Linked DNA regions of Arabidopsis thaliana. The protein of the gene in region 1 interacts with the protein of each later gene in a pairwise test. Each region holds a gene or a part of one and is shown in the gene's direction. Other genes may lie near its edges. The genes, in order: MLO15, AT3G18215, SK42 and AMT1;2.

What was found.
Region 2: the proteins of MLO15 (region 1) and AT3G18215 interact in a protein complementation assay, tested with the Arabidopsis thaliana proteins (one large-scale study listed by BioGRID).
Region 3: the proteins of MLO15 (region 1) and SK42 interact in a protein complementation assay, tested with the Arabidopsis thaliana proteins (one large-scale study listed by BioGRID).
Region 4: the proteins of MLO15 (region 1) and AMT1;2 interact in a protein complementation assay, tested with the Arabidopsis thaliana proteins (one large-scale study listed by BioGRID).

What each region holds. Positions count from the first base shown.
Region 1 is NC_003071.7:18,244,530-18,250,280, reverse strand, and holds MLO15 (Seven transmembrane MLO family protein), read left to right. Parts: upstream 1-1,821; 5' UTR 1,822-1,964; coding exon 1,965-2,081; intron 2,082-2,188; coding exon 2,189-2,246; intron 2,247-2,334; coding exon 2,335-2,555; intron 2,556-2,680; coding exon 2,681-2,797; intron 2,798-2,976; coding exon 2,977-3,037; coding exon of another isoform or gene 3,038-3,042; intron 3,043-3,135; coding exon 3,136-3,230; intron 3,231-3,334; coding exon 3,335-3,409; intron 3,410-3,501; coding exon 3,502-3,590; intron 3,591-3,670; coding exon 3,671-3,720; intron 3,721-3,823; coding exon 3,824-3,864; intron 3,865-3,947; coding exon 3,948-4,157; intron 4,158-4,255; coding exon 4,256-4,323; intron 4,324-4,399; coding exon 4,400-4,460; intron 4,461-4,561; coding exon 4,562-4,792; 3' UTR 4,793-4,924; downstream 4,925-5,751. Other genes in the region: AT2G44120 (Ribosomal protein L30/L7 family protein), read left to right, coding at 1-52, 156-253, 337-394, 570-649, 736-1,054; GDI1 (guanosine nucleotide diphosphate dissociation inhibitor 1), read right to left, coding at 5,417-5,470, 5,562-5,636, 5,719-5,751.
Region 2 is NC_003074.8:6,239,027-6,243,958, forward strand, and holds AT3G18215 (transmembrane protein, putative (Protein of unknown function, DUF599)), read left to right. Parts: upstream 1-1,742; 5' UTR 1,743-1,941; coding exon 1,942-2,106; intron 2,107-2,358; exon of another isoform or gene 2,359-2,762; coding exon 2,763-3,332; 3' UTR 3,333-4,052; downstream 4,053-4,932. Other genes in the region: AT3G18210 (2-oxoglutarate (2OG) and Fe(II)-dependent oxygenase superfamily protein), read right to left, coding at 44-130, 235-385, 459-635, 723-770, 1,038-1,370.
Region 3 is NC_003070.9:21,430,479-21,438,438, reverse strand, and holds SK42 (shaggy-like kinase 42), read left to right. Parts: upstream 1-2,335; 5' UTR 2,336-2,562; coding exon of another isoform or gene 2,563-2,602; exon of another isoform or gene 2,603-2,926; coding exon of another isoform or gene 2,927-3,012; exon of another isoform or gene 3,013-3,069; 5' UTR 3,070-3,186; intron 3,187-3,466; exon of another isoform or gene 3,467-3,470; 5' UTR 3,471-3,561; coding exon 3,562-3,702; intron 3,703-3,830; coding exon 3,831-3,923; intron 3,924-4,008; coding exon 4,009-4,068; intron 4,069-4,142; coding exon 4,143-4,415; intron 4,416-4,786; coding exon 4,787-4,861; intron 4,862-5,431; coding exon 5,432-5,488; intron 5,489-5,567; coding exon 5,568-5,708; intron 5,709-5,799; coding exon 5,800-5,850; intron 5,851-6,032; coding exon 6,033-6,128; intron 6,129-6,595; coding exon 6,596-6,679; intron 6,680-6,793; coding exon 6,794-6,896; intron 6,897-6,992; coding exon 6,993-7,077; coding exon of another isoform or gene 7,078-7,081; exon of another isoform or gene 7,082-7,228; coding exon 7,229-7,301; 3' UTR 7,302-7,388; downstream 7,389-7,960. Other genes in the region: PUP17 (purine permease 17), read left to right, coding at 1-837; AT1G57906 (F-box protein), read right to left, coding at 1,629-2,189, 2,563-2,602, 2,927-3,012; AT1G57860 (Translation protein SH3-like family protein), read left to right, coding at 7,612-7,848. UniProt on the Arabidopsis thaliana protein: May mediate extracellular signals to regulate transcription in differentiating cells.
Region 4 is NC_003070.9:24,059,971-24,064,665, reverse strand, and holds AMT1;2 (ammonium transporter 1;2), read left to right. Parts: upstream 1-1,861; 5' UTR 1,862-2,100; coding exon 2,101-3,645; 3' UTR 3,646-4,026; downstream 4,027-4,695.

The sequences.
Region 1 (5,751 bases):
CAAGCTTATCTTCAAGAGAGCTGAGCAGTATGCCAAAGAATACGCTGAGAAGGTAATAAAGCAACACTCTTTTGTTCATCTTTGCTGACTAAGATGACTGTTCTGTTCATGGTTGTTGTAATGAATCATGATATATTATTTGCATGCTTGTTTAGGATAACGAGTTGATCCGATTGAAGCGGGAGGCTAAGTTGAAAGGAGGTTTCTACGTTGACCCTGAGGCTAAGTTGCTCTTTATCATTCGTATCCGTGGGTATGTGCCTATTATTTGTGTGTTACATAAGTTGTTGCATATAGATTCTGTTTTTTATTTACGTGATTGTTTGTCATTTGCAGTATCAATGCCATTGACCCAAAAACCAAGAAGATTCTGCAGCTCCTGCGTTTGAGACAGGTAGGTTTCACAGTTTGTTATTTTCATCCAGCTATATTAGCCTAACATATGATTATTGATTAATATTTGTTATATGTTCAAACTAATATGTGATAGTTGCCTGTTCATCATTTTTAAAAGAGAGTAGAAGACTATTGCGTTGTCAAGAAGTTTACTTTCGTATACATTTGTGCAGATCTTCAATGGTGTGTTTCTTAAGGTGAACAAGGCAACAGTAAACATGCTGCGCCGAGTTGAACCATACGTGACTTACGGGTATGCAATCTGATTCTCTCTCTTTCAATAGGATTATGTAAACTAAACTATATGCTGCTCTAAACCGAATGATATATCTGGTGCAGATACCCAAACTTGAAGAGCGTTAAGGAACTGATCTACAAAAGAGGTTATGGAAAGCTGAACCACCAGAGGATAGCACTTACTGACAACTCCATTGTGGATCAGGCTCTCGGAAAGCATGGGATCATCTGCGTTGAGGATCTCATCCACGAGATCATGACTGTTGGACCTCACTTCAAGGAAGCCAACAACTTCCTGTGGCCATTCCAATTGAAGGCACCACTCGGTGGCCTTAAGAAGAAGAGAAACCACTACGTCGAAGGTGGTGATGCTGGAAACAGGGAGAATTTCATCAACGAGCTTGTCAGGAGAATGAATTGATGAAAGCTTCCTTCTTTATCTTTGCAAATTTCAAAGATTTTGGGACCGAGTTTTTTTTTTTTTGTTCAAGTTATCAGAGACTTGTGATCTTTTATCCGAGATAGGCTTTTTATGACTAATCATGTTATTTTCCAATGGCGGGCTTTTAAATTGATCTTGAATTTTTATTGGCTGTTAGATTGTTCCTTCGAAGCCCACCAATCCATTAGAAATATCTGGTTTTGACCGGTTGATTAAATAATTCCGGTCGAGCTGTATCAAAGATAGAATGCTCTTAACCGGAATCGTTGACTTCAAGAGTACAAGCTGTTCTCCATTTTTTTAAAGAGATTATATCGGTTGTGCGAAATTGTCCAAATTTTGTTTTTATAGATTGACCGATCAAATATTGTAGCGGTTAATTCGTTAAAATAAAACGTTTGATCAGTTACATTTGATTAATTCAATATCAAGTCAAAATTTTATCTTGTTAAAGGAAAAAGAAAAAATATTGGGTTTAGACCTTTGACAAAGGAAAAAAATGGGGACTTAAAGAGTCTAATTAGACCTCAATTAACAACTCTTGGTGGCTCTATAACATTAGTAATTTCTATTTAGGTTGTACATTGTAACTATCCAAAACTCTAAATAAAGAAAATTACAAAACATAGAGGGGACAAACACACACTGACACCGCATACATTACACATTATATAATGTGCATGAATACAACCTACACTTTCTAGTAAAGAAATGAAAATGAATATAACCTACAAATTTTAATATTTAAAGACACGTTCTAAAGAATAAGATCGCCGGTTTAAAACAATTACCTGGTCATCATTTTGGATTAAACTCATTAGGCATTCATTATATAATTGCACCAAACAAGAAGGGGATCAAGAAAATCACGAATCACCGGAGCAAAAAAATGGCGGGAGGAGGAACGACCTTAGAGTACACACCAACTTGGGTGGTTGCTCTCGTCTGCTCCGTCATTGTCTCTATCTCTTTTGCCGTCGAGCGTCTCATTCACCGTGCCGGAAAGGTTATATATTACATATTGGCTCCTTGTGTTTATTTTATATGTATGCATAATTCATTTAGACGTTGTAGACTAAATGACTATTATGGATCTATGCATGAGGAATATAGCACTTTAAGAACAACGATCAGAAGCAGCTTTTTGGGGCATTACAAAAGATCAAAGAAGGTGACTTCATGTTTTTGTTGATAAAAAAAAAGATCCATCATGTGATGATATCATTTGTTCTAATAGGATTCTTAAAATTTGGAAACAGAACTCATGCTAGTAGGGTTCATATCGTTGCTATTATCGGTCGGCCAGTCTAAAATCGCAAAGATTTGCATATCAAAGGAGTTAAGTGAAAAGTTTCTCCCTTGTACGAAACCTGCAGGGGCTGAGAAGTCCCTTAAAGACTCCTCCCATTTCCAGTTCAGCTTCACCGGCCGTCATCTCCTCGCCGGAGATGCCCCCGCCGGTGACTACTGCTCCCTAAAGGTATTCTTATCTTTGCAAATCTTTTTTTGACTTACACGTTTTATTTGAAGACGTGCGTAGAATTAACATAAATTTGTCTATAATATGATATCTTTTTTGAATCTTTTTGTTTGTTTTAAATTCAGGGAAAAGTACCAATAATGTCATTATCAGCTCTGCACGAGCTTCATATATTCATCTTCGTATTAGCTGTTGCCCACATTATTTTCTGCCTCTTAACCATTGTTTTTGGTACCATGAAGGTATTTTCTTAATTACACCTTACTTAACAATAAATCTTTTTTTTAATCTTTATTAGTTACGAGATATCACGAACAAATATAAGCTAGTGATAATCCTAAACTCTAAAACCGGACAACTTCTATTCGCAGAATAAGTTTTTTATTGTGTCTAATGATTATAACAAAATGTTATGGCATAGATAAAGCAATGGAAAAAATGGGAGGATAAGGTTTTAGAGAAGGACTTCGACACAGACCAAAGTATAGTACAAAATCTTGTTTCAGGATCTTGAGAACTTTTCATTAATTATAGTCATTTGTAACGTTAACAAGTCTTATATATACACATATCTACACAGTGATCCAGAAGAAATTCACACACGTTCAAGAACACGAATTCATCAGGTCACGATTTCTTGGGGTTGGAAAAGCTGATGCTTCCTTGGGATGGGTGGTGAGTGTTTTTGTTTTCTCACAACTTATCTTACTTGTAATTAAAGACATGTTTGTATGTGTATATGCAAGTTTTTGAGTGATATGTGTTCTTTTCCTTTGCAGCAATCGTTTATGAAACAGTTTCTTGCGTCAGTCAATGAATCAGATTACATCACAATGAGGCTAGGCTTTGTCACGGTATATATCTTGGATTTTTGATTCGTCCTTTGCTTTGTGTTTATCTCTACTATAATGTCTAAAAACAACTTTTTCTATTTGATCTTTATAAGACTCATTGCAAGACCAACCCAAAATTCAATTTCCATAAGTATTTAATGCGTGCCCTTAATTCTGATTTCAAGAAAGTCGTCGGTATCAGGTAAATAATTTATAGTTTTTCCAAAAACCAATGCAACATAGTGTTCTTGATTCTATTCTAATGTATATATCAAATTGCAGTTGGTACCTTTGGGTATTTGTGGTTCTCTTCTTGCTTCTAAACATTGTTGGTGAGATACTGAGATGACATCTTTTAACTTTGATCCAATACAAAGTTTTCTTCTCTTCTTTCTTTTTTCGGTTGAATGATCATCGACTCGATATTTCTTGCAGCATGGCATGTTTACTTCTGGCTAGCTTTTATTCCTTTGATCGTAAGTCCCTGAAAACCTTCTCAAAGCATGTCTATGCTTCAAACCTATCTAAATCAACTCTTTTTACGCGGTTTTCTCCTCAGCTTTTACTTGCCGTGGGGACGAAGTTAGAGCATATCATCACAGATTTGGCTCATGAAGTTGCAGAGAAACACATTGCTGTGGAAGGAGATTTGGTTGTCCGACCATCAGATGATTTGTTCTGGTTTCAAAGTCCCCGGCTAGTTCTCTTCTTGATCCATTTCATTCTTTTCCAAAACTCCTTCGAAATCGCCTACTTCTTCTTTATCCTTGTAAGTACTCTTTACCATTAATCGATCTAAACCAATAATCTAGAAGATATCAAGATACGTACAGAGAAAAGTGAAAACTCATGCAATTGTAACAACAGTTTCAATTTGGTTGGGATTCATGCATCATGGATCATGTCAAGTTCGTAATTCCAAGACTCGTCATCGGGTAATAATAGCCAAAGCTACTTAATATCGATCTTGTTATGAGCTTCTTGATCTTGAAATGTGAAATATTTTTGCAGGGTAATAATTCAGCTTCTCTGCAGTTACAGTACCTTACCGCTCTATGCACTCGTAACTCAGGTACAGATTCTACATCTCTTAGTCAATTTTCTTGTGTTCTTATATCAAACTAGACCAAGACACAAACTCAAAACCAAACCTTCTAATTTTTTGGTGAAAAGATGGGAAGTTCATTCAAAGGTGCAATATTCAACGAGCAGACACAGGAACATCTTGTTGGATGGGCAAAAATGGCTAAAAGGGGAGTGAAGAAAGGCGCAACACAAGTAGGTACCAGTCATGATGCTACTAGTCCAAGACCGTCTATTCAGTTGAACTCCTTGCTAGGAAAAGGCTCCTCTCAACAAAATCAGAACCCCAAGGAAAAATCAGAGATTGCTCACCATGATTAACAAACAAAAACTTGTTCTGACATTTTTTTTGTTGTTGTGATTTTTGATTTTTTGAACTTGTTCGACTTTGTTTGGTATATATAACTGATTGAAAGGCGTTGTAACAAATAAACACAGCAAAGATGCTGAATCTGTCTGCCAGTTTGATCAAACAAGATATGTGATTTCTACAGAGCCGTTTATAATGCTCAATTTTGTGTTCGTTTATATGATTTTAAACTGACATGTGAAGAAAAACAATCTATGTCGGTTTGAAGAACAAAATAATGGTTTGTGTGTATTACCAGTCATTTAATATGCTTAGTTTAGTTTTGCTATGCATTTACTATTCAACTTGTTAAGCAACGACTCTCTACGAAACGATTGAGACGATAATTGTTCAAACGGAAGAGCATGATGATATATTAGACACTCCAAACAAAAACCACGAAATCCAACATTTTAGTTTTTTGAGAAGAAAAAAACAGACTGCGATAACCGGGAATAGGTACGCATGATGAGATCGGTTTGATTTAGTATTTTAACAGAACATTTGGTGAGACAACTTTTAAGAAGAGGGAGAAAGAGAACCGGTTACATCATTTGGTGACTAACAGAGAGAGACAGAGCTTGCAATATTTTCCATCATTCCTCCTCTGCAGCACTAGCTGCGTTAAGATCCACACTTAGATCCAGTTCCTGCAACACAAAACAATGATCACTCCCCAATTACAGAATATGTCGCCGTCAATTAATAAAAACCGATATATTTGTGATTCTAGAACATTACCTTTCCGGTGATCAATTTATACATGTTCAACACATCAACAACAGTTGTGTCAAAGTGTGTTGTAGCATCATAACTCTGTTCAGGACATGAACAAAAAAGGTTATTAGAAACCAGCCAACTTTAAGATGCTCACTAAAAAAGGGGTAGAGAAACTAACCGTTGATATGAAGCAGTTGTCCAAAGTGGGTTC
Region 2 (4,932 bases), on another chromosome or scaffold:
TCAGGTCATGGGAAATTATACAGGATATGTCAAAGGGTCTCACCTAAATCAACATCCCTATCTTTCCCATATTCAACAACAAAACCATGGTGAGAGTCCAGAGTTGCTCCACCCACATCACTGAAGAATACTGCAAAACAAAAGATTCGAAGTAGCTTTTTAGTTTTAACACTGTGAACATATTAAACAGACTTTCCAATAATAGACTATGTAATGGATTTAAAAATATATTGCCTTTAGAGATGGGACGTATAAACCCCTCCATGAGTTTGTCAAGCATGGTGTCTAGACCAAAGTCGTCAAGCACAGCACCGTATTTATTCATGGTGTTTGGTCTCATTATCCGGAATTTGGTCTCACCCACCCACCTTTCAAAATTGTCTATCTGCATGGTCAAACAAGAGCAAATGAACAAAATACGAAGGATAAGAGAAAAACAAAAAATGGATGCACATTACCTCGGCTAGCATCATCTCACAAAAGCTAGGCTGGAGCATGTCAAAGACGAAAACACCAGGAGACGGTTCAGATATTATATTTCTGAAGCTTTCCTCTGTGTTTTCATTTATCGCCTTAAGGAAAGCAGGAACGAAACATACTGTGGGAACTAGAGTATACAACTCCTTGTGAAGTGGCTGCAGTAGAAAAACACTTCAAACTACTAACAAATGACTGGAGCAGAGCAATACAGAACACAAGAAAGCTCAAGAAAGGATTCACACCTGATAATTTGTTGTAATCTTCAGCCTATAGTCACTGTGCCTTTGAGCCTGTAGCATCAGCCAAACAAAACTACTTAATAAAACTCTTGAGCTCATATTGACATTTTCAAACCATTCATGCAATATCTTCTACCAACCATCATCTAACCAGATTGAAATTTCCATAACCACTTAACTAAAAGTGAAACCAGTTCATAGTAGCAATTAGCAAAAGCTCAAATTTTCATAATGAAGTGTAGCTTCTAAAGCAATTCACAGTCATCAATACAAGTAAAAACAAAATTCAAGAGAGAAAGGTCCAAATCTAGTACTTACTCTGGAACGCTCTCCATGAGGAAGATGCCTAAGCATAATATCAGTCATGAATTTGATTTTCTCATCACGATTCGAGACGAGCATATTCGGAGGCAAGTACTTCTCCAGACTAGAATATACCGAGTTTGGGAAATCAAGCTGCAGATCTTCATAACTATCGGGTCTATGCTCGTTGTTAGGGTTTAGCCTTAGTCTCTGGCAAGAAACCATCGTAGAGGTAGCTCTCAATGTCGTGGGAGCCGCCGAATGAGAATTCTGACCTGCAATTGTTCCGTTACCTTCCACCGTCGTCGTCGTCGTCTCTTGCGAACCTTCTCGCTGCTCACTTGACATTACTAAAGAAGGCAGAGAATTCAAGTGAGAAAAAACTAGGGTTTCTTCTTCACACTACATTCCAAAAGCAAAAAATCTTAAAGGGGAATTGAAATCGACTTTTTAAGCTCTCGATCTGGAGATTCTGATTTTTGAGTTCCCGTTGAAGTTAGGGTTTCTGAATGTTCCCTCGAAGATTTTTTTATCTTTTATTTATTTGTTAATATTACGCACGAAACCACCAGTCATACGCCTTATAAGAAGAGTTAAATGATTTTCTAGCCCATCTATTAGGCGGCCCATTAAATAATTCGAACCGGTTATTTGGTTTAAACTGAAATTACCGGTATAATCGTGGAATTGAAATCATTCGACTTTGAGTTGTCTGTTAGTGCGTTATTGGTTAACACGTGAGAGATATCGATAGTCTCCTCTGGAGTTTGTTAAGTTCACACGTGTGAATGAAAGCTTTCGCTCTCAAAGCTTGGTGCTTTTTCGTCTCTTGCCTCTGCCAAAATCTTTTGGCCGCCATCGATCTTTCCGATCACGGAACAACCGTACGAATTGAAAGTATCTCTGCGGCGAAGTAGAAATGTGGACGGAGGAATCTTTGGATTTAGTGCTTGTGCCGACGGGTCTGGTCGTGATGGTTGCTTACCATGTCTGGCTCGTCTACGCTATTCTTCACCGCCCCAAGCTCACTGTTATCGCTCTCAACGCTGAGTCTCGACGACAATGGGTCTTCTCTATGATGACTGTATGTTTTTTTCTCTTCTCATTTCTATTGTTCCTCTTTTGGTGACATTCTGGGATTTTCTTGGTATTTCTGATTCTGGAGATTTTGGGGTCTAGATTAGGGTTTATGGCAATAGAGCTGCTTTGTTCGTGATTTTAGGAATTGGGTATTGAGAGTCTTACGGCTCTCCTATCCTCAATTTTCATGATTCTGAAGTTTTCGAAGTCAACTAAAAACTAGTAAACCATAAATATTTGGATCTTCAAACATCAGGTAGCAAAATTGAGCAGGGTTTATGATGAGTAAAGATGATGAGATTAGGAGAAGCAAAGTCTTGGAGCTGTCAAGTGATGTTAGATGTGAATCTTCATTAGTAGAATCAATGTTATAATAGACGGTTGGCTATCTTCCTTGGAAGCTTGACATTTTTCAAGAACTCTTCTTGTTCATGGAGGATATGCATCACAGATCCCTATAGTTCACAACTCTACGCATATTTCAGCTAGAATCTTGGAGCTAGTTAATGAGGTTCATTGGATAGGAACAGAGTCATAGACATGAGAAACAAGAACACAGTCGTGTGTCTGTCCGTTAAGATCCGAATTATCGGTGGTCTTGGCTCTCAGTATTGGTTCTTTTGCAGTAGATGATATAAGTTTATCTATTGTTATTTCCAGGAACCACTGAAAAATGGTACCTTGGCTGTTCAGACAATCCGGAACAACATAATGGCATCAACCCTTTTAGCCACAACAGCAATCACTTTATGTTCCATCATCGGCGTCTTTGTAAGCAACTCGTCATCTTCAAAATCCACGGCAACAAATCTCATATACGGGAGCAAAAGCCCTCGCTTAGCGTCATTCAAGAACTTTGCAATCCTGATCTGTTTCCTCATGGCCTTTCTCTGCAACATCCAGTCAATCAGGTATTACGCTCACGTAAGTTTCCTAGTCACAGTGCCTGTCTCAAGAGGGAAAAGAGAGCACTGCGAGTACGTGTCTAGAAACCTGAACCGAGCTAGCTACTTCTGGTCTCTCGGATTACGGGCTTTCTACTTCTCCTTCCCTCTCTTCTTATGGACCTTCGGGCCAATCCCGATGTTTGTGTGCTGTTGTATGATGTCCTCGATTCTATATTTCTTGGACACGACCACTAGTTTTACCAGGCATCTTCATAGCCAATCGTTCAGAGAAACGGCTGATTCAATGGACGGCGAAATCGAATCAGCTGTTCATACTCTGTAGATTCTTCTCTGACTTTTGTTGTGTATTAAGAGTTATATGTTAACGGTGTCTTTTGTAATGTGATGGAACAACTTTGTCTGCAATTATGTATGCGTTTGTGTTTTCATGTTACAATGATTAGAAAACATTACAAGATGAAAACGCAAACGCCTACCTAAACGCAAACAAACAATCTTAAGTATGTTCATCACTGAAGAAAGTAATGGTTTTAGCTTTTTCTGTTCTTGGTTTTAGGTTTGGATAACTAAGAAGAATTGTTATTATTCACACAGGCCTTAAAACAATTTTGTTCTTGCTTTGTTTCCACAGGATTGAGTAAAATCCATAAACGAAATGTTCAAGCCTCAAACTGTTTAAACATGACTAGATACGCACAAAAAGGCTCACGCTCGATAAGTACATTAATGAAACCTTTTATTAAGATTTAAGGACAAAAGTTCGATTCTTCTTCTAATGCCAAGAGACGTTACAAAGCTGGAGTGGCAGTGACGGCGGAAAATAAGACAATGGGGATGTCTTTAGGTGATCCGATATCGGATACGAAGGCGAAGAGATCATACAAGATCTCATTGCATTCGTATCCACTATGGATCATCTAAACTCATTCATGGAATCTGGTACCTCTAATTGGCTCATTTCCCCCACGTCTCTTAGAATCGGAGAAGACAGAGAGAAAAACCTAAAGCACCTGACGGACTCCGGACAGATTGAGCATGCAGGAATAAATAAGCGCGACACTCAAGCAAGCACCAAAGATTTGGGGTTTTCCGAATATTTTTTAAGGATTTGAAACTTCTAGACTGGGCTGGGCCTAATTAAAAGATTATTAGCCTACCAAAAAAAGTTCGAGACCCATCTTCTCTCTTCTTACTTTGTTGTCTCTCTCTACAATCTATATGTTGGCTGGCCAGCTGAGACAAATTACTTTTGCATTTGGACGATGATTTGTCTATTTTTCTTGTTAATATGGTTGGTCTGTTGTTGTGTCTGGCTGTTCGTTGAATTTCAAGAGTTTTATGTTATTAACGAGTGTTTTTGATGATATCTCATGGAACAATTTCCTTTGAGTTTTCATGTTATAAATGCTCGCGTAAATGCAAACAAATAATTGAAATAATAGTGGTCTACTATGTAATAATGTGATCTCAAAAAATAATATATATATATATATATATATATATAATGTGATCTCTTGGGTTTAATTCTTAATGTATTCTTCTTCTTCTTCACTCAAAGTAAAAGGGTTTGGTTTTGACCATGGTTCAGGTGTTACACTACAAATAGTATAAAAATTAAATTTTTTTGTATGTATATAATAAAAAAAAGAGACAAATAAAGTTACATTGTAAGTGGTCGCCTTAAGAAGAAAAATCATTCATATTTTATTCTTCGTCGATCTTCTGTTTTGTGTCCAATTTTAGAACTTTTACTCTATTTTCATACATCCAATCTCCTTGCCTCTACAATAGTATACCAAATAAACAAATTGTATTTGTTATGTTGGTCGAATCCAAAGATCGATTTTAACATTGTTATGTGTGTGCATGACTAATGCAAAATTTACATATCCAAGATTATTGTTGAACTTTGTTTGTAGACA
Region 3 (7,960 bases), on another chromosome or scaffold:
AGTTTCCTCTCCTTGCGTCTCTTCTTCCTTTACTTATCTCTTGGTGTTCTTGTTGCTGCTCACAGCAAATTGTTCGCACTCGGGAAATTAGTCTCAAACTATGGCATCTTCTCATTGATTTCCACAACACAGTTGATATTTACCGCTGTTTTAACAGCCATCATTAACCGTTTCAAGTTTACTAGATGGATCATCATATCGATATTACTCACTATTGTGATTTACGTTCTCGGTACTCCTGACTTTGGAGGACAGCCTCATGACGGCGAAGAATTCGGATACAACATCCAAGCTTGGTTAGCTTTCTCTGCTACAATTGCTTTCTCATTATCTCTTTGCTTAATCCAACTCGGGTTCGAGAAACTCCAAGTGAAGACCAAGAGATATGGTAACGAGAAAGTGTTTAGAATGGTCTTAGAGATGCAAATATGTGTCGCTTTTGTCGCCTCGGTTGTTTGTCTCGTGGGCTTGTTTGCGAGTGACGAGTATAAGGAACTGAAAGGCGATAGCAAGAGGTTTAAGAAAGGGGAAACGTATTACGTTCTGAGTTTGGTCGGGTTGGCTTTGTCGTGGCAGGTTTGGGCGGTCGGGATGATAGGTTTGGTGCATTATGTTTCGGGTCTTTTTGGTGATGTTGTTCATATGTGTGCTTCACCATTTGTGGCTTTGTTTGTTGTCTTGGCATTTGATTTTATGGATGATGTGTTTAGTTGGCCTAGAATTGGTGCTTTGATAGGAACAGTTTTGGCGTTAGGATCTTACTTCTACACTCTGCACAAGAGAAACAAGAAGAAGATGGCGGAACTTAACCAAAGTGAGAACAATGTTGAAGTTTAGTTTCTCATGTCAAGTGTTTGTCAATCTGTTCTTGTTATTCTGATTCTTGTAAGTCAATGTCCAAAATATGTTGTATAGATATGGATCAAACTATGTAATTTATTTATTAGTTGGTTTAGTTTGATTTTTTTCTTTTCTCTGTTTTGCATTTATTTGTTACAATACTTTGCTAGAGGAGTGAATCCCTATATATTTCTCAAGTAGACTTGATTGTTAACATCTATGGGGCATCGAGACACCAATAAAGCCACATCCCACTTGATGATATAAGCTGCACCAAGCTCTTATGCCTTTAGGCTCGTACCTTTCCTATATAGAATGCAACGTAAACGTCTTCCCCAAGCAACTCAAATCCAGAGGCTGATGAGAAGAAGTCTTTTATATGCTTATTTGTTTTGTATATCTTCCATGGGTGATCATTCCTCTGCAAGTGGTTTATTACGTCGATGAAAGCCAGAAATATACCAATAGGCCATGCACATTTCGGTTACAGAAGTGGCACTCTTCATATTACTAGCTGGAGAAGAAAGGTTTTCGATAGAGCTTAACGGAAATGGTAAAGTATGGTATGAGATAGAGATAATGTTATCACATTTCTTGTCACTCCTCCAATATCCTTAATATAAAGAAAGTAGCTCTAGCCTAAACAAGATTCAGAGAAACCTAGGAACAAACATTTGGAAACAACTCTGCTCAGAACCAAACATCATCAAAGTACTACCATCGTCTAGCTTAAACACCTTAACCTCTACTTCCTTTTCATGGACAAAGTATATAGAATTCGGTACGCATCAATAGTACTCATGAGCCATAACCGAGAAACAAGTATCAGTCGCCATCACAACCGCACTATCTCTCAAGGACTTAACTTCAACCCACTTCCCTAATTCCTCATCAACCTTATAAACATTGAAACCAACCATTTTGGGACATTCTATTTCCACCTCTTGGTCCACATTGCATTTTTCATTCCCAAAATCGTCATGTATCACATTAGAAATCCGAGGAGCTACACCAACATAAACATTATCATCCAAGTCCAAGTAATCAGCTTTTCTTTTCAAGACATTCTCTTTAAAAAGACGATCAACAATATAAAGCTCTCCACAACATGCAACCAAGCTTAAGTCTCCACCACATTCATTAGTAAGTGAAGTTCCATACCTAACGATACTAATCCACCAAACAATGCCTTTCGTATCCAACACGTAAATTAGCTCTTTGAGAACAATAATATCAGAGAATTCACCAATCTGATCTTTGATTCTAGTCCAAATCTCTCCATTCCAAAACCTAATCTTCCCATCAAACCCTATTCCAAAAACTCGATCTCCTCCCGCAAGAACAACTTTCTTAAACCCAAAAGCAATGGACCATTTCGGTTTAACAATAGATGTGATTTGGTTTAGCTTATCAATTAATTTTTTTATTTTATTTTAAAATAAATATATATTTTAATTCTTTTATAAATCTCTGATTGGTTGGTTAATTAATTGTTTGTATTTCCCTTTTACGAATTTAAATAAAGTAGATGTTACAAAAGAAAATGAAAATCTCTGAAAAACTCTCCTGATTCAAAAGAGTAAGAAATCTACAAAAGAAAACCACAGAGAAAATCTCTACTGATCAGTTTCTCTCCATTGGTGATCGCTCGTCAGAAAAATTGAGCTCGATTTTGTATAAATTGAAGAAAAAGAAGAAGATCATCAAATGCGTGATTTTTACTTTTCCGTTCAAGGTAAATCGATCATCTTCGGCTTCAAGCCTGAAGATAGCGCTTCGAATTGGTTGAATTGTGTAATTTTGGAGGAAGTTAAGGTTCTTGCAGTAACAACTGCTTTACTGATTTTTCTGGTTTTTTTTGTAATTGTAGAAACTGAGTTTAAGGACAAGCTTTGTCCCTTTTAGTGGAATTTAGATCTGGTTTTGTCGTAATTTCTTCTGGGTTTCAATTCTAGTCTTCTGTAGTAGTATCAGTGTTGTGTTATCACCCACTATTTCAAAGTTTCAATGAAATTTTAATACCAAGTTGTTGACTTTTCTGTGTTTCTATCTGATCATAATTAACTTCGGAAGAAATTATTGTGACCTCAGAAAATTAGGTAGCTGATTTGATTCTTTTGTTTTCTCAATTATTCTCTTGTTAATTTCATTGTTCACATAGAAATGGTTCATATTTTCTGCTAATATGTTTCCTCTTTCATTTCAATTCACCATATTTCTTCTTTGTAGTGATTGATCAAGGGAACATAAGCAGCTAGAGACCACACCACTCAGTTATTTCTATCTCATAGTGCTTGTGGATGTTCAAGCTATAAGAATGTGCTCGGTGGTTCTATGAATATATAGGTATTATGCGTTATGTTTGGTTTGTAGAATATATTCTGAGAAGGTGATAGGATGGTCGATTTGCTAACTTTATGTCACTTCTGAAAGTGAGTTTGCATGTTTCTCTTTTCTCTTAAATCTGCTTTAAGTGTTAAGATATTTTGTTTTGAATATATTTGGAAAAACCAGTGACTTTGGTATTCTGTTAGCATGTTCCAACGATCTAAATTCTGTGGGTATATACTCTGGTAATTGCTTATACTGTTTTTGCTTTATGAAAACGATTTTAATATTCTACTAGGAAGATTGGTGTTTTGATGGGATGGGACACCAAATTGCTAAGGTTTATGGTGTTATCAATTACTAGTACGTGTTATCTTCCGAACAACCACCACCATGGAATCTCATCTGGGAAATGGAGTAGGCAGTTCGAGATCTGCCAAAAATACAAAGAACACTTCTAGTTCAGTTGATTGGTTGAGCAGAGATATGCTTGAGATGAAGATAAGGGACAAGACAGAGGCTGATGAGGAGAGAGTAAGTTTTGCATCTCCTTTCTTAGGTCTTTATTTCTTTGTGAACTTCTTTAGCTTATCTTCCTTCTCATGCGCCCCTCTATTTGATGAAGTAGTTTACTTGAATTTGATGTTTTTGCCATGTTGCAGGACAGTGAACCAGATATCATTGATGGAGTTGGTGCAGAACCTGGCCATGTGATCACAACTACACTCCCTGGACGAAATGGTCAATCAAGACAGGTTAGATGGTCATAGAAACTGTGTGTCTAGATTGTTAGTGAGACGTACTGATTCTTATACAACTGTTTTTAATTTTGATTGACAGACAGTCAGTTACATAGCAGAACACGTAGTCGGGACTGGTTCATTCGGAATGGTTTTCCAAGTGAGTAAGATTGTCTATCTTGTTGTTTTACCATTGGTTAAGATTCCCAAACATTTTATGTCTCCTTGTGGTAGGCTAAATGCAGAGAAACTGGGGAGGTTGTTGCCATCAAAAAAGTTCTACAAGACAAGCGTTACAAGAACAGAGAATTACAAATTATGCAGATGCTAGACCATCCGAATGTTGTTTGTTTAAAGCATAGCTTCTATTCAAGAACAGAAAATGAAGAGGTTTATCTAAATCTTGTCCTTGAGTTTGTTCCCGAGACTGTCAATCGTACTGCCAGAAGCTACAGTAGAATGAACCAGCTGATGCCATTGATATATGTCAAACTCTACACTTACCAGGTGATTATTTCCTGTTTCTGATCTTTTTTTGTTTCTCTTTATGTAAGCGTCATAAGTAATCACTCAAAATTTAAGCTATATTCAGTTTCTTGATATGTGTCAGCTGGTTTCTTGTGGTTCATTCCATAATGGATGTTGGAGATTTCCTCTTGTTTTGCTAGATAGATTGTAAACCAGAAGGCAAAGTTCCTATCATTTCTGATACTATTGTACTTTTCCGTTAGAAGTTGGAACTATTGAACATAATTGATTGTCTCTATATAAAAGAAGTAGTGCTCAAACGTTTGTTGAACACTTAAGTGTGAATCGGGCCTGATAATTTGTTGGACATTCTCCAATGATTTTTGAGGATTTTATGTTAATGGCTACAGATTTGCAGGGGGCTTGCTTACCTTCATAATTGCTGTGGTCTTTGTCACCGTGATATAAAGCCCCAAAACCTGCTAGTAAGTTCCAATTTTTTCTCACTGAAAAGAAGTTGATGATAGATTTCACTTTCCTGTAAGCTACTTTTGTTTGAATTTTTTTTATATAGCAAGGTCTTTGTCACCACACATAAGGATTTTAAAGGCATTTGTGTACATAAATATCAGACAGTGTTCTTTAATTCTACAAATTTGATCATTATATAGTAATGACATGATGATATTTCGTTATTACATGCCTGGTGGGATTAAGCAATGAGGTTATGTATGCATCTCGCTAATGTTTATTTCAACCTCAGAGTGGTACTGGGCTTCTGTTCTGTAGTTAATTTCACTTGCTATTTGTTCAAGTAGGATGTTAAAATCTAACTTTTCGGAAAATAGTTTTGGTTTTTAGCTGGTCTGTTCGTTGGTTTAAATATTTAGAATCCTATTTTCTTGTGATTTCACAAGGATTGAACTTGTTCCATACTGTTTCAGCTGTTAGGCTCACCATACCTGCAATTGACTAGAATTTGTCATAAACAAATGTTGCCTTGTTTTTATTAAACAATCTTTTATTTTTTTCTTTACACCTATTGTGATGTGCAGGTGAATCCACACACACATCAGCTGAAAATTTGTGATTTTGGGAGTGCAAAAGTGTTGGTAAAGTTTATCAGCTATAGCTCTTAGTGGTTTAGTTTTCCTAGTCCATGCTTAGATTATGACGTGTCATGGTCCACAGGTGAAAGGAGAACCCAATATTTCTTACATTTGTTCAAGATACTATCGTGCCCCAGAGCTCATTTTTGGAGCCACCGAGTACACAACTGCAATAGACATATGGTCCACAGGTTGTGTGATGGCTGAACTGCTGCTTGGACAGGTTGGAGCACTATATTTGCATTAGCTATATGCTTGTTATTCTATTTCTTCACCCTCTTACTCATTTTTGCTCTCGCGGACTTGTTTTACAGCCTCTGTTTCCTGGCGAAAGTGGAGTCGATCAACTTGTTGAAATCATAAAGGTAGTATTTTTGCTATCAATTCTTTTAGGGTTAGTTGTATTTACAAAGAAAATGACATCTTTAGAGCTGGCACTGACTAATAGTTTCTCACTGCTGATTATATTTTTTTTATAAAACTTTACCACCATTTTTGTAGTAGGACTCGTACATTCTCTCTTCATGGTTTTTTAATTGTCATGCAGGTTTTGGGTACACCAACAAGGGAGGAGATCAAATGCATGAATCCAAACTACACAGAATTTAAATTTCCTCAGATAAAACCTCATCCTTGGCACAAGGTATACCGCTAGTAGTATCAATTATCACCTAATAGGGTTCTCTTAATCGATATATGACCAAGCTTGTCTCGGTTTAGTGAGGTTGATTGAAGTATATGTGATCAATTAACTTCATATTTCATTCCTCTGGCATATAGAGCGATGTGACAGCTTTGCCTTTGTATATAAGATTCTTATACAAACAAATAAATTGAACCTTTGCCAAAAGGAATTACTCATGCACACACTCGTGGGGGTTGAAAACAGTTAGGCTTCATGATCTTGGCTTTTTTGCTGGTTTAAGTTTCTATCTAGATGAAGTTTTATTCAGCATTTTATACAGCTGACATTCCAGAACTCTGTTACTCGTTATTCTTATCTTTTGTTTTGCTCCGTGCTAAAATTTCTCTTAAGTGATCATTTCCTTGGTTTTACTTCTATATAGTCATGTTCTTACAGCACAAGAATCATGTGTTTGTTACTTTCAGGTATTCCAGAAACGTCTGCCACCTGAAGCAGTAGATCTTCTTTGTAGGTTCTTCCAGTATTCTCCTAATTTGAGATGTACAGCGGTAAATTATTCATAGCTTTTCTCTGACTTTGTTACATATTCTACTTCCATATTTTTTTTGGGATCAGCATCAGAAGCTAACCCATTATAAGTATGTCTTATGATTTTCTGATAGGTGGAAGCTTGTATCCACCCTTTCTTTGATGAGCTAAGAGACCCAAATGCTCGTCTGCCAAACGGCCGGCCACTTCCTCCGCTATTCAATTTTAAACCACAAGGTAAGGTTCTGTTATTTGCTTCTTCTTTTTTCCGTGTTAAATTCTTTATAAGGGAAGAAAATTAGTATGTGTTATTGATAAGCGTGTGTCCTACAGAACTCTCTGGTATCCCTCCTGAAACTGTGGACCGACTTGTCCCAGAACATGCCCGTAAGCAGAACCACTTCATGGCATTACACTCGTAAGTCTCTTCCGTGTTTTCTGTACGACCTATCGGGTGTTCTCTTCTTTTCTCTAAGCTCTCTAGATCCCAGTCTTTGGGAAAAACCAGTAGAGCTCTCTCTCTGTAAACAGAAATCACTGGAAAAAGAAGCAATGACTTTTGTATTAAGGTGCTTGCGCATCCCTTGTCGTGAAGTGAGGATGCGTAAAATACAACACTACTTTGTTAGATATATGATATAGAGGAACATACTTACATTTGCAAGACTCCTGCCACAACACAATTTTCCAAAAAATTTGTGAACCTTAAAATGAATTGACAGTTTAGTTTATTTGTCCATGTTTACGAACTTGATTTGAACCATATTACTCGAATTACACCAAACCAATTTATCTTCGAGTTAATTTCAAATAAGGCATTTGTTTTACAAAATAAGGCTTAAATATTGAAGGCCCAATAAGACCATGTACACAAAAAGCCTTTTAAACTAGTTTCACCTCTCTCTCCCATTTTTAGGGTTTCGTCAGAGACAGAAGTGAGAGAGGAGGAAAAATGCCGGCGGGACACGGAGTGAGGGCGAGAACAAGAGATCTGTTCGCGAGACCATTCAGGAAGAAGGGTTATATTCCACTCTCCACTTACCTCAGAACCTTCAAGGTCGGCGATTACGTCGATGTCAAGGTTAATGGAGCTATCCACAAGGGTATGCCTCATAAGTTCTACCATGGTCGTACTGGTCGCATCTGGAATGTCACTAAACGTGCCGTTGGTGTTGAAGTCAACAAACAGGTTTGATTACTCAAAACTTTTAATCTGTTTGAAAGAGTTTTTTGTTGTTGAAATTAGGGTTTGAAATTGATTTTGATTCTTTCATTTGGGGTTTAATTCGTCTTTCTGTGAG
Region 4 (4,695 bases), on another chromosome or scaffold:
GAAATGCAATAGAGTTTTTTTTTATTATGTCTTCATACGTAATGCCAGAGAACGTGAAGAAGTTTTCAAGAGTCAAAAGCACACATAAATCAAATAATCGCTGGAGACAAAACCCTATGTTAATCGTATAAACGTTTGGTAAGTTTGAAGGATGAAAAGAAACGATTATCTTCCAGGAGTAGAAAAGAAAATTTTTGGAAGCTACGAGGACTAGATCTTCTTGTGTAGAATGACATAAACTATGCTAGTGAGCAACACGTCCTTCAGCATTTGAATGACCGTCAAAGTTATATTGTTTACCAGAAAAGTGTATTTAATCACGTGGTTAGCGGTTCACTTTTGCGGCAGTTTTTACCATATTTTGACTCTAGCAAATTTAGTGGCGGCAAAAAACCGGAACCGATTACTCAAACTGGAACCGACCCGAAAAATTAGATCCGAATTCGAAGATTTATCTTATTTGTCTTAAATTTCTCTACCAAAAAACCGAATTCGAATTCGACCCGAATCCGAAAATCCGGGTATTTATTCGAAAATTTGGGTATCGATTCCAAAAAAGGCCTGAAAATCTATATTCGAACCCGATTGGACCCGAACCAAAATCAAACCGATATTTTAGAATTACTCTATTGGATCCTAAACTTCTCTATCCAAAAAAACCTGTACCCGATCGGATTTTATCAGAACCTGACTCGAATGCCCATCTCGCATTATCCTGCATAGTAACAATTGGTTTTGGATCGGATCTTGCTGATAACACTCTAATTTTACCCATTTTTTCATAAATCGCATTTATTTTTACCCATTTTTTCATAAATCGCATTTTAAAAACATTTAACGTAATATAAAAACATTTTCACTGTTCATATGTCCATTCATTTTGTTTTTTTCTTTGTTGCGTGATTTCCTACTATCACTGTGATTCCGTGAAAACCTAATACGATTTTACTATTGAATCTGTTCATCTTTCCTTTGTTGCATATATATTTTTCCTGTAATCACAAAATTGAACCCTATATATAGTTTGTAGCTTTAACAGTTTATTCTCTAATACGTAGTGCAATATAAATTCTATGTGAAATCGGTACCTCAAATTACAACATATTTGTTTGATTAACTAAAAATACAAAAATAAATGGCGCTAAAAATCACACAGCATCAAATAATGCCTATTATTCAAGTCGAATTACGTATTCAGTTGTGAAGTAGTTGTAGTCAAGTTGAAAATAATTTTTATATTTAATCTAGCGTGATAATTTTATAACTATTTGAGTGATCGTCCTTGCCCCCTATATCACATTCATATAAATGATACATCATTCATGATCTATCAACTATTGACTTCATCGATACAAACGAAACGAAAAATTACATTTTTCAAATTATTTTAATTCCAAAAAAGAAATCAAATTATTTCTCCTTTGAATCGTGCCGTCAAAAAAAATAAATTATTTCTCCTTTGTAAGAACATTAACTAGTTCATATAAAATATTGAGTTGGAAAAATAGACATACAAATTCATTTAAAAGAATCATATCGTCATATGCTTGAACTTGTTCTTTAATGTCGTACTTCTATGTAGCGATGTTTAATTAATTGTTTCTCATAAACAAATGCTGACCCGATTCCTTGTCATACTAAAATAAACGATTCAAACACTAAACGAAATATTATAAGAATTTTCTTTTTTCTTTTTTTATTCGTATAACCAAAATTAATTGCACACAAAAACTGATTAAATATCTTATTAAAATAAAAAAATCTTCTTTAAAAAATTAACTTTAAATATGTTCAAAACTGAATAGAAACTAAAACAAAACTATACCAAAACAAATTTATTAATTTTATTTTAGTTTGATTACTACTGTTTAAAAAAACTTAAACCAGAGACCTAGAATTTTAAAATTCAGAAAACTTCTTTTAAAACCTCAACTAGAAGAAGAGTAAGTAGTACCGCAACTTTTTGTGATGTAACGAAATAAATATGCTTTTTTCCACTTTAAATACACCAAAGACACTCTCACCACAAGTACTCACTTAAGCAAACACGTTCCACAATCAAGTACCCTCTCTCTATCTCTCCCTCCCTCCCTCTCCACCATGGACACCGCAACCACCACATGCTCTGCCGTAGATCTATCTGCCCTCCTATCCTCTTCTTCTAACTCAACATCTTCCCTCGCCGCGGCAACCTTTTTATGTTCCCAAATTTCAAACATCTCCAACAAACTCTCCGACACAACTTATGCCGTCGACAACACGTATCTCCTCTTCTCCGCCTACCTTGTCTTTGCCATGCAGCTCGGTTTCGCTATGCTTTGTGCTGGATCAGTCCGAGCCAAGAACACTATGAACATCATGCTTACCAATGTCCTTGATGCTGCCGCTGGAGCCATCTCTTACTACCTCTTCGGATTCGCATTCGCCTTTGGTACACCTTCCAACGGATTCATCGGTCGCCACCATAGCTTCTTCGCTTTAAGCTCTTACCCTGAACGCCCCGGCTCCGACTTCAGCTTTTTCCTCTACCAATGGGCTTTTGCCATAGCCGCGGCCGGAATCACTAGCGGTTCCATCGCCGAGCGAACGCAATTCGTTGCTTACCTTATCTACTCTACTTTCTTGACCGGTTTTGTTTACCCGACAGTCTCGCACTGGTTCTGGTCAAGTGATGGATGGGCTAGCGCGTCCCGGTCTGACAACAATCTCTTGTTTGGCTCAGGTGCTATTGATTTCGCAGGTTCAGGAGTTGTTCACATGGTAGGTGGAATTGCCGGTTTATGTGGAGCGTTAGTTGAAGGACCAAGAATAGGTAGATTTGACCGGTCAGGCCGGTCCGTGGCTTTACGTGGTCACAGTGCATCCCTTGTCGTGCTTGGTACCTTCTTGTTGTGGTTTGGATGGTATGGGTTTAACCCTGGTTCCTTTTTAACCATTCTTAAAGGCTACGACAAGTCTCGGCCATATTATGGTCAATGGAGCGCTGTAGGTCGCACCGCGGTCACCACAACGCTTTCTGGCTGCACCGCTGCGTTGACTACTCTATTCAGTAAACGGCTTTTAGCAGGTCATTGGAACGTTATTGACGTATGCAACGGACTTCTAGGCGGCTTTGCAGCTATAACCTCCGGATGTGCCGTGGTGGAGCCGTGGGCTGCTATAGTATGTGGCTTTGTGGCATCATGGGTTTTAATCGGATTTAACTTGCTTGCCAAGAAACTTAAATATGATGACCCACTCGAGGCTGCTCAGCTCCACGGTGGATGTGGAGCATGGGGATTAATCTTTACCGGGCTGTTCGCAAGGAAAGAATACGTTAACGAGATTTACTCCGGTGATAGGCCTTACGGACTGTTCATGGGCGGGGGAGGAAAACTGCTCGCCGCGCAGATCGTTCAGATTATTGTGATCGTTGGGTGGGTGACGGTAACTATGGGACCGTTGTTTTATGGGTTACATAAGATGAATCTTTTGAGGATATCAGCAGAAGATGAGATGGCAGGAATGGACATGACACGTCATGGAGGATTTGCTTACGCATACAATGACGAAGACGACGTGTCGACTAAACCATGGGGTCATTTCGCTGGAAGAGTGGAGCCTACAAGCCGGAGCTCGACTCCTACACCGACCTTGACTGTTTGATACTTTGATTGGAGAATTGAGTGGTCCCAAACGAGTCAGTTTTAATGTGGTGAAGACAAGAGTTCGGGCACCAAACATGTTGGACGCATCTTTGTGTATTATTGGTCTTCTTCTTCTTCTTTTTTTTTCTCTTGGTTATCGCTCTGTTGTGGACAGATAGTGTGGAACTGTTAACAATAACATGATCAGTATGTCTTTTTAATTAAAGTGAACGTTTGGTATCAAAATTAAACATTGGAATTTGAGCGGTCTTGAGACATTTTAAATGTTAAGAAAAGAGAGGAAAAAAAAATCTTGTACGATAGCATGTTTTGTTTTGATAAAATGAACGTTAGAATGTTAATCAATAATCACCAACGGAAATTAATCAGAATTGTCGAGTTTTATTATAAACGAGTTTTTTTTTTGTGGACGAGCTTATCAAATTATCACATACTGATCATAAGAAAGTTGTCTTGGGTACTTATCGGTTATGTTATCACCACAAAACTATGTAACCTTTTTTTTTGTTGTTGTTCAAACCACATAATACGTAACCATGATTCGGGATTTGATATCATAACCTATGGTTCTAGGCTTCTAGCTAGTTCCATGGTATCCATTGGTTCAATGATTCTTTTCTGTTGATTGGTCGTCAAATTTTCTGAATAACTAATATTTTAAATATGAAAATATAAATATATTTATATTAGTATATTACTACTTTAGAAAACGGATGGTCCGGAGCCTCGTATGTACTTTATCCTTTTTCCCATTTGCCATAAATTACCGTTCAATTTTATCATTTGTCTTCTCGTCCTCTCTTTTTATCATCACCCATTTATTCACCACTAAAAGTTGATCTTATATACTACATACAAATCTGAGTAGCTCCCACCTAGATGTTTGTTTTATTTAGAATTTTATTTGACATTATTTGTGTATTTTGTTGCTAATTACGATTCTAACTAATTTATTTTCCCGACAACTTTGTTAGATTAGCTTGTATAAATCAAAATTGGAGAATATTATTTATATAAATAATAATATGCGGTTGGATACGAACTGTTC